2 linked regions of the Callithrix jacchus genome follow. The protein of the gene in region 2 interacts with the protein of the main gene of each other region in a pairwise test. Links are inferred from orthologs where the notes say so. Each region holds a gene or a part of one and is shown on either strand. Other genes may lie near its edges.

Evidence for each region.
Region 1: the proteins of PER2 (region 2) and CSNK1D interact in binary tests that used the Homo sapiens proteins (3 or more experiments, as listed by UniProt). The link is inferred for Callithrix jacchus from reciprocal best matches to the Homo sapiens genes PER2 and CSNK1D.

The regions. Positions count from the first base shown.
Region 1 is NC_133506.1:137,905,637-137,909,733, reverse strand, and holds the start of CSNK1D (casein kinase I), read left to right. Parts: upstream 1-1,297; 5' UTR 1,298-1,347; coding exon 1,348-1,423; intron 1,424-2,115; exon of another isoform or gene 2,116-2,252; intron 2,253-4,097. UniProt on the Homo sapiens protein: Essential serine/threonine-protein kinase that regulates diverse cellular growth and survival processes including Wnt signaling, DNA repair and circadian rhythms. It can phosphorylate a large number of proteins.
Region 2 is NC_133507.1:159,581,891-159,585,390, reverse strand, and holds part of PER2 (period circadian protein homolog 2), read left to right. Parts: intron 1-36; coding exon 37-162; intron 163-944; coding exon 945-1,029; intron 1,030-2,337; coding exon 2,338-2,485; intron 2,486-2,579; coding exon 2,580-2,704; intron 2,705-3,500. UniProt on the Homo sapiens protein: Transcriptional repressor which forms a core component of the circadian clock.

The sequences.
Region 1 (4,097 bases), on a different chromosome or scaffold from region 2:
GTTAGTGACTGATGGTGTCTGGCTGACTGCATCTCCTGTCTTCAGGCCCTACTGTGTAACTTCAGGAATGGATATCTGCCTCCCCGGGATATCTACCTCCATGGGAGCTGAGGGGTGGAGAGGAAAGACGGGGATGGAGACTGGTGGGTGCCACTGCAGGGCCCTTCGGGGGCTGCTTTCCTCTTCTGCAGTGACCCAGATGCCAGCTGAGGCTTCTGTCTCACTTAGGCCACGGTGCCCACACCAGAGCCCTGAATTCACCTGTTTCACCTTCTTGAGTTTCAGCAAGGATGGGACAGGTTGAGACAGGTGGACATGGGACCACGGGGACTGGTTCTTCATGGTCCCCATGCGCCGCAGCCTGGGGGGGCTTCTCTGGAGGGCTTTCTTCCCAGTGATGGGAATCAAAGGCCCCAATCTTTGAAGCTGACCGTCAGCCTGAACGTGCACATCCTTGTTTTCTTTTGCAAGGAGGAATATTCAGATCCAACACAGATAAGAATGTTGACTCGGTCTCCAGGCCGCAGGGACTGGTGGGAGGCAGGTGGTCTGTCCTCATTTTGTGAAAGGTGGTAGCCTCGTCCTCATCCTTCAGGCTGGACATCAGGACCTCCCAGGGTGCGGGCCTCTCTGTCTCTGGCCTCAGGTGTCAGGAGGCAAAGCCGCTGACGTCCTGAGATGCCCCACGCCCGGGAACTGGCAGCCAAGTGAGAAGGTCTCACTTGTGTCCTCCGGGCCGGGCCTCAGCTACCTGTTCCCTCCTGCAAAGGGCACCGCCTGTCTCCAGGAACTCACCTGGCTCTCCCGAAATCTCGGGGGACACACGAAAAGCCCCAGTGAGAGCGGTAGGAGCCTGCACGTGGAAGGGGCTGGCGGCCTGAGGTCCTGGGATAATGGGCGGGCAGAGGGACTGGGGCCCTGCGAGACGGTGCAGGGTCCGAGGAGGCTGGGAGCGCTCGCCCCACCCGCCCCCGCCCCTCGAGCACTGCGGCCCCACCCGCCAGGGGGTTGCCAAGGGAAGTGACGTCACAGCGCGATGGCGGCGGCTCCTTCAGGCTGCTGAAAGGGGATTTAGGCCCCGAAGATCCGAGTCCATCCGCGGCGGGGAGAGGGCAAGCGGCGCCGGCAGGGGCCGGAGCAGCGGCGGCGGCGCTTGGACTGTCCCATCCGCCCCGTATTGAGGCGCTGGGAGCGACGGGGCAACGGGAAAGCGATGGTGAAAGCGGGGCCGTGAGGGGGGCGGAGCCGGCAGCCGGAGCCGCAGTAGCGGCAGCAGTGGCGCCGCCTCCCGGAGCTCAGACCCAGGAAGCGGCCGGGAGGGCAGGATCGAACCGGGCCGCCGCCGCCATGGAGCTGAGAGTCGGGAACAGGTACCGGCTGGGTCGGAAGATTGGCAGCGGCTCCTTCGGAGACATCTATCTTGGTGAGGCCCCGCCGTCCCCACCCGCCGTTTGAGGACCCGGGCCCCGCGGCTACCGAGACCAAGTGCGACCGCGGAAGGAAGTGGCGGCCCCCGCGGGGTCCGCGCGCAAGCCCTGCCGCCGCCGGGTCGTCGCTAGAACCCAACGGCCACTAGACAAGCGCGGCCGGGGTTGGGGAGGACAGTGGGGCGTGGACCTGGGGGAGGGGCAGGGTCGGGGGGTGGGGGAGCGGGGTCTGGAGAGGGGAGGGGTGGGAAAGAGGGGACAGGGGAGCCGACCCGGGGCGGGGCACGGTCTCGGGGGTGCGGAGTCGGGAAGGGGCAGGGTCGTCGGGGAGCGGACCCGCGAAGGGCTGGGTGGGGCGTGGGGAGGCGGGCCCAGGGGAGGGGCAGGGCGTGATGGGGGCCGCGGCCCGTGGGAGGGGAGGGGGAGGGGGCGGGGCAGGGCCGGGGCCGCGGGCGAGTGTCGGCTTGCTCCGCGCCTGAGGTCTCCGAGATAAACAAAGGCCATGCTCTTTCTTTCGCAGCCCTGTCCGAGGATGTTTGGCTCCCCAGTCAGAGGCTGCCCATGCGTCTTGCACGCGTGGGGGATAATGTCAGAAAGACCCGAATGCCGTGTGGAGCTGGGGGAGTGGCCTGGCTAGGAGCGGGGCTTGCCCTCCACCTCGCGGCCGCCGTCATGACTGACCGCTGGGGGTTCTCTCTGCACTGCGACCCTAGGCCTTGGAGCGGTGACTGAGTGCAAATGAAAGTCCCACAGGGTTAAGATGCTGGCAAAATGAGAGGCCCATGAAGTAGTAGTACTCATGAGCTGTCCTTTAACATTCTCAAGGTAGATTTCAAAAAAAAAAAAAAAATGGGATTAGAACATTCTGGGTTGTCATATTTACAACAGAAGAATATGCATGTGGGCACAAGTGTATTGAAAGATTGGCTGACATCTTCAAGTTTGTAAAAAAAATTTATTTTGAGATGGAATTTTGCTCTTGTTGCCCAGGTATAATGGCATGATCTCAGTTCACTGCAACCTCCACCTCCAGGGTTCAAGCGATTCTCCTGCCTCAGCCTCCCGAGTAGCTGGGACTACAGGCGCGTGCCACCACGCCTGGCTAATTTTCTATTTTTAGTAGAGACAGGGTTTCTGTATGTTAGTTAGGCTGGTCTCAAACTCCCGACCTCAGGTGATTCCCCGCCTCCCACCCCTTGGCCTCCCAAAGTGCTGGGATTACAGGCATGAGCCACCACGCCCAGCCCAAGTTTGTACATAATTTTAAAGTAACTTAATTTTCCGTACTTGTCAGTGGGATTGTGCAATACAGGAGTTATTCCAAGACCCCCTGAACTTGAGGATGTGTAGCCTCGTGGGCAGTGTGCCTGCAGAAGGCCTGATGCAGACCTTTGAGGGGACCTATTCTCTGTTCCAGCAGCCCCATCTCTGGGGTGTGTTTGGCTGGGGCACAGCCAGGGTCCGGAATCCTATGGGATGTCAGTAATGCCTCTGGTCGCACTTTTTAGATTAATCCGCATGTGAACAGTCCCTACATCTCATACCCTTCTCACTTTTCACCTGAGAGATGACTCAGGACCCAGTGGGCTGACAGCATTAGGCTGAACCCATACATTTGGGTGGGTCATACTTTGGGTGCCTGGTTAACCTACCAGTTAACCCTGTCACATGCCATATTGTTGCTTTTGAACCTGTATATATGCCTTAGCAGCCTGTGAGTAAAACACGCTTTAGATGTTTGGGTTGACTAAACATTTATACCCAGGTGGTCAGCTGGATATGTTCTTGGCAGTGTTTTGGAAGTCAGAGTGCTTGGTAAATGGAAGGCATTTGGCTTATTTATAGATTGATAGATTTTGGCAAAAGTTTTAACTCCACAGTCTGAGTTACACTGCAAAGCCAGTCCATTAACCACTCTTAGGCAGGCATCAAAAAGAAGTATTTTAGGCTGGGCGCAGTGGCTCATACCTGTAATCCCAGCACTTTGGGAGGCCAAGGTTGGCGGATCACTTGGGGTCAGTAGTTTAATACCAGCCTGGCTAACATGGCAAAACTCCTTCTCTACTAAAAATACAAAAATTAGCCGGGTATGGTGGCCGTCACCTGTGATCCCAGCTACTCAGGAGGCTAAGGCATCCTGAGAGGTACAGATTGCAGTGAGTCAAGGTCACACCACTGCACTCCTCTGAGACCTTGTCAGAACAACTTTGTGCTTTCCAAAGATAGATTCAGACAAATTCTGGTGTGGTTGTTACCAAGTCGTTCACAAAGGTGGAAGGTGGCAGGCTGTCTGCTCACTCATGGTTGCACCCTCAGGCCTCACCTCATGCTGGGCATGCAGTCACGCTGGAAACCATTAGGGTAGGGATTTCCGGTGACTGTGGCTCTGGCGCCCTGGGGTTGGAGCCTTCAGACAACCATCCATCAGGGTACATGTCCAGTTACTTGAGTGGGGTTGGGCACAGCTGATTTGTTTTTTTTCCATCAGCATTGGCTCCTGGCCTACATTTCAGTCCTTTCAGACGACCCCCCTGAGGAAATGAAAAGTGAAGTGGTCATGTAACCCGGAGTAAGGCAGGCTGGAGGAAGTGTGGGTCTGCGCAGAGCAGCAGTTAGAGTCAAGATGGCTGATCTGAAGACCGTGAAATCATCTCCACCATAGTTGGTTTG
Region 2 (3,500 bases):
TGGCTGTGTCTGTATTGCTGTCTGCTCTCTCCCCAGCCGGTCCCCCACAGCGGCTCCAGTGGCTACGGGAGTCTGGGCAGCAACGGGTCCCACGAGCACCTCATGAGCCAGACCTCCTCCAGTGACAGCAATGGCCATGAGGACTCACGCCAGAGGAGAGTCGTACGTCCCCTTCCATTCTCCCTGAGAAAATGAGGTTGTGGACGTCCGTTCAGAGTTAAAAAGCACACTCAAGACAACCCTTGGCAGTCAGGAGAGGCTTCATCATCACAGCTGTTTCTGCTTCCTTTCTAAACTTTGTTCACTTGGGACTTACTCTTTAATTTCTTAAGAGTCTAAACAGCTAGAAGCTATAGCTAAGCATTTGGTTGAAACTTACATAAAACAGACCAAACAAGCAACAGTGAAGATTTAACTAGGATAGAAAGAAGAAAATATAGGCCCGGCAGGGTGGCTCACGCCTGTAATCCCAGCACTTTGGGATGTTGAGGCAGGTGGATCACCTGAGGTCAGGAGTTCAAGACCAGCCTGGGCAACACGGTGAAACCCCATCTCTACTAAAAATACAAAAAATTAGCTGGGCATGGCGGCATATGCCTGTAATCCCAGCTACTCAGGAGGCTGAGGCATGAGAATAGCTTGAACCCGGAGGCAGAGGTTGCAGTGACCCAAGATTGTGCCATTGCACTCCAGCCTAGGCAACAGAGTAAGACTCCATCTCAAAAAAAAAAAGAAGAAAATTTAATGTGCTGTTTTGCTTTATTTTTTATTGTTCCTTAGGATCTTCGAATAGGTTTTATGTAGCTCTGCCTCTCAGATTTCTCATTCAGATTTTCCTTCTGTGTTGCCGAAATTCTCTCAGCCATCCTCAGTTCTCACTTTGGGGGACAAACTGAAGGAGGTCTCCTCAAACGAATAACGTGTTCATTTTATTTTTCTTCAAGGAAATTTGTAAAAATGGTAACAAGACCAAAAACAGAAGTCATTATTCTCATGAATCTGGAGAACAAAAGAAAAAACCTGTTACAGGTAAAAAAAAAATTCTGCATTTCCTTACTGAAACCAGAGTGTGGCCGAGTGAGAAAAGGGACCTGGGTGGAACGCTCACTGTGGCGGGCAGGGCTGCACCTCCTCCTGTGTTCAGCAGTCTGCAGCTTCAGGAGGCGAGAGCAGCCTGGTCCTGGGCTCACTCCGCCAGTGCAGGCACTGATGTCTGCTGGGTACCTGGTGCCCTGCAGGCCTGGTGGAGTGTGGCCAGGTGTGCAGGTCTGAAGAGCTGTGGCCGGGTGTGCCTGCCTGCCCGCTGGATGTGCCTGGGAGCCATGGCCTGGGCCGCTCGTTCTTGCTGTAGAGTGGCTGTATGGCCATGTGCTTACACTTGCATAACCTTTACACACTCACACATACACACACACACACACACCTGCTGACAGACTACCCAGCATCCACATACACAAACCTGTCTCAAGTGGAGAGTGTCACCCAGAGGCCATCGACCCACTCCCACTGCAGCAGCCCTTGCCTCACCACGTGCCACACTTCCCAGGCAGCTTCACACCGTCACCTGTGGGTTCGGGTTCAGGCTGCTCCTCTGCCCAACATGCATTTCTCACACAGCACGCACACAGACGTGCACACACATGCATGTGTCCCAGTCCTCCCCCTGCTGGGCCCTTGCTCATTCCCTATGCTCAGGCCAAAGCCTCCTGTGGGAAACGTCGGGCCCAGAGCACACTCCAGCCAGACACTGCTAGGACTTCTGGCCTTTGGGACGCGTTGGTGGACATGCTGCATGCTGGACTCTGTGCCGGGTTTCAGGGAGACACTGATGAGGTGGACATAGCTGTTTGCTCTGCTCGAGGGCCCCTACGGACAGGCATGTGATGTATGTCATGGGGGCAAGAGTCGACTCCACAGCATAGTGCAGGAGGCAGTAGGCATCATAATCATTACTAGCAGAGATCACATTGAAAACATTGGCCTGGCCCAGGAGGGACTTAAAGTACATGGGCTCTCATTGGCCCTGAAAGTTTAAGAGTTCAAGTGAGAGCTGGCATCTCCCACTGCTGAGTCCCTGACCCCTGGGGATGGCCTAGACCCCGGAGAGAAGCAGGCACCAGGCTGGGCAGCAGCCCCCTCCCAGGCCTCCCTGTGGACGGCACTGTGGTGCTCGTGCCCACAGGGCTGCCGGATGCCAAGCTGTCCCTGGGCTTCCATACCCGTGAAGCAGATTCTGAGTCCCCAGCCCTGTCTTCAGGTAGAACGAAAATGCTTTCTAAATACACAGTGTTTTCTTCAGGAGAAAAATAAATGAAAACCATTTTGCCGTTTCTTCAGAAATGCAGACTAGTCCCCCAGCTGAAATGAAAGCTGTCCCTGCCGTGGAAAAAGACAGCGTGGGGGCCAGCTTCCCGGAGGAGTTGGCCTGCAGGGAACAGCCCACCTGCTCCTACCAGCAGATCAGCTGCCTGGATGGCGTCATCAGGTACGCCGGCACTTCCCGCCGAGTCTCCACCATCTCCTGCCTTCCTGCCCCTCGTGTTGTGTGGCATCACCAGTGGCTCATGCCCTTCACACAGGTACTTGGAGAGCTGCAGTGAGGCTTCCACCCTGAAGAGGAAGTGCGAGTTCCCAGCAAACGTCCCAACACTAAGGTCCGGCGATAAGCGCAAGGCCACAGTCAGCCCGGGGCTGCGTGCTGCAGGTATCTGATCTGGGTAGAGCCGTTTCTATGGGTAATAGTATAAATCCTCTGGAGTGGAATCAGGCATTCTCAAGGCTTCCATGGACACAGTCTAAGCGTTCAGGCTATTTCTCAAATGATGAAAGTAGTTTAAAAGTCAGCACCCTCCTTAGAAGAGCTAGAGGTAAAGATGATTCTGTCAGAGCCTTGGCTTTGAGAACAGGAACCCAGCGGGGCTGCTGGAGGCCTGAGAATGTCCCCTGACCCCCTCTTGTAGCCACACTGGTCTTGAGTTGTCAGCCTAGGGCAGGCCTTCTTTCCAATGCATCTCGGAGGGGCCCTTGTCCCTAAATGTTAACATGCCCCATAAATCACAGACTGCTTAAATGCTGTCAGTGTTGCTGATGGTCACCACCAGGATTAGAAACAGGGTACCCTGGCCAGGCACAATGGCTTATGCCTACAATCCCAACACTTTGGGAGGCCGGGATGGGTGGATCACTTGAGGTCAGGAGTTTGAGACCAGCCTGGCCAACACGGCAAAACCCCATCTCTACTAAAACTACAAAATTAGCCGGGCGTCGTGACACATGCCTGTAATCCCAGCTACTTGGGAGGCTGAGGCAGGAGAATTGCTTGAACAGGTGGAGGTTTCAGTGAGCCGAGATTATACCACTACAGTCCAGCCTAGGTGACAGAGGGAGACTCCATCTCAAAAGAGAGAGAAAGAGAAACAGGGTAACCCAGATTACAGTTGGTTCCTGACTGTCGGAAAAGCCCCTCCCTGCAAGCCTGCAGAAGGGCTCCCCGGCCGCAG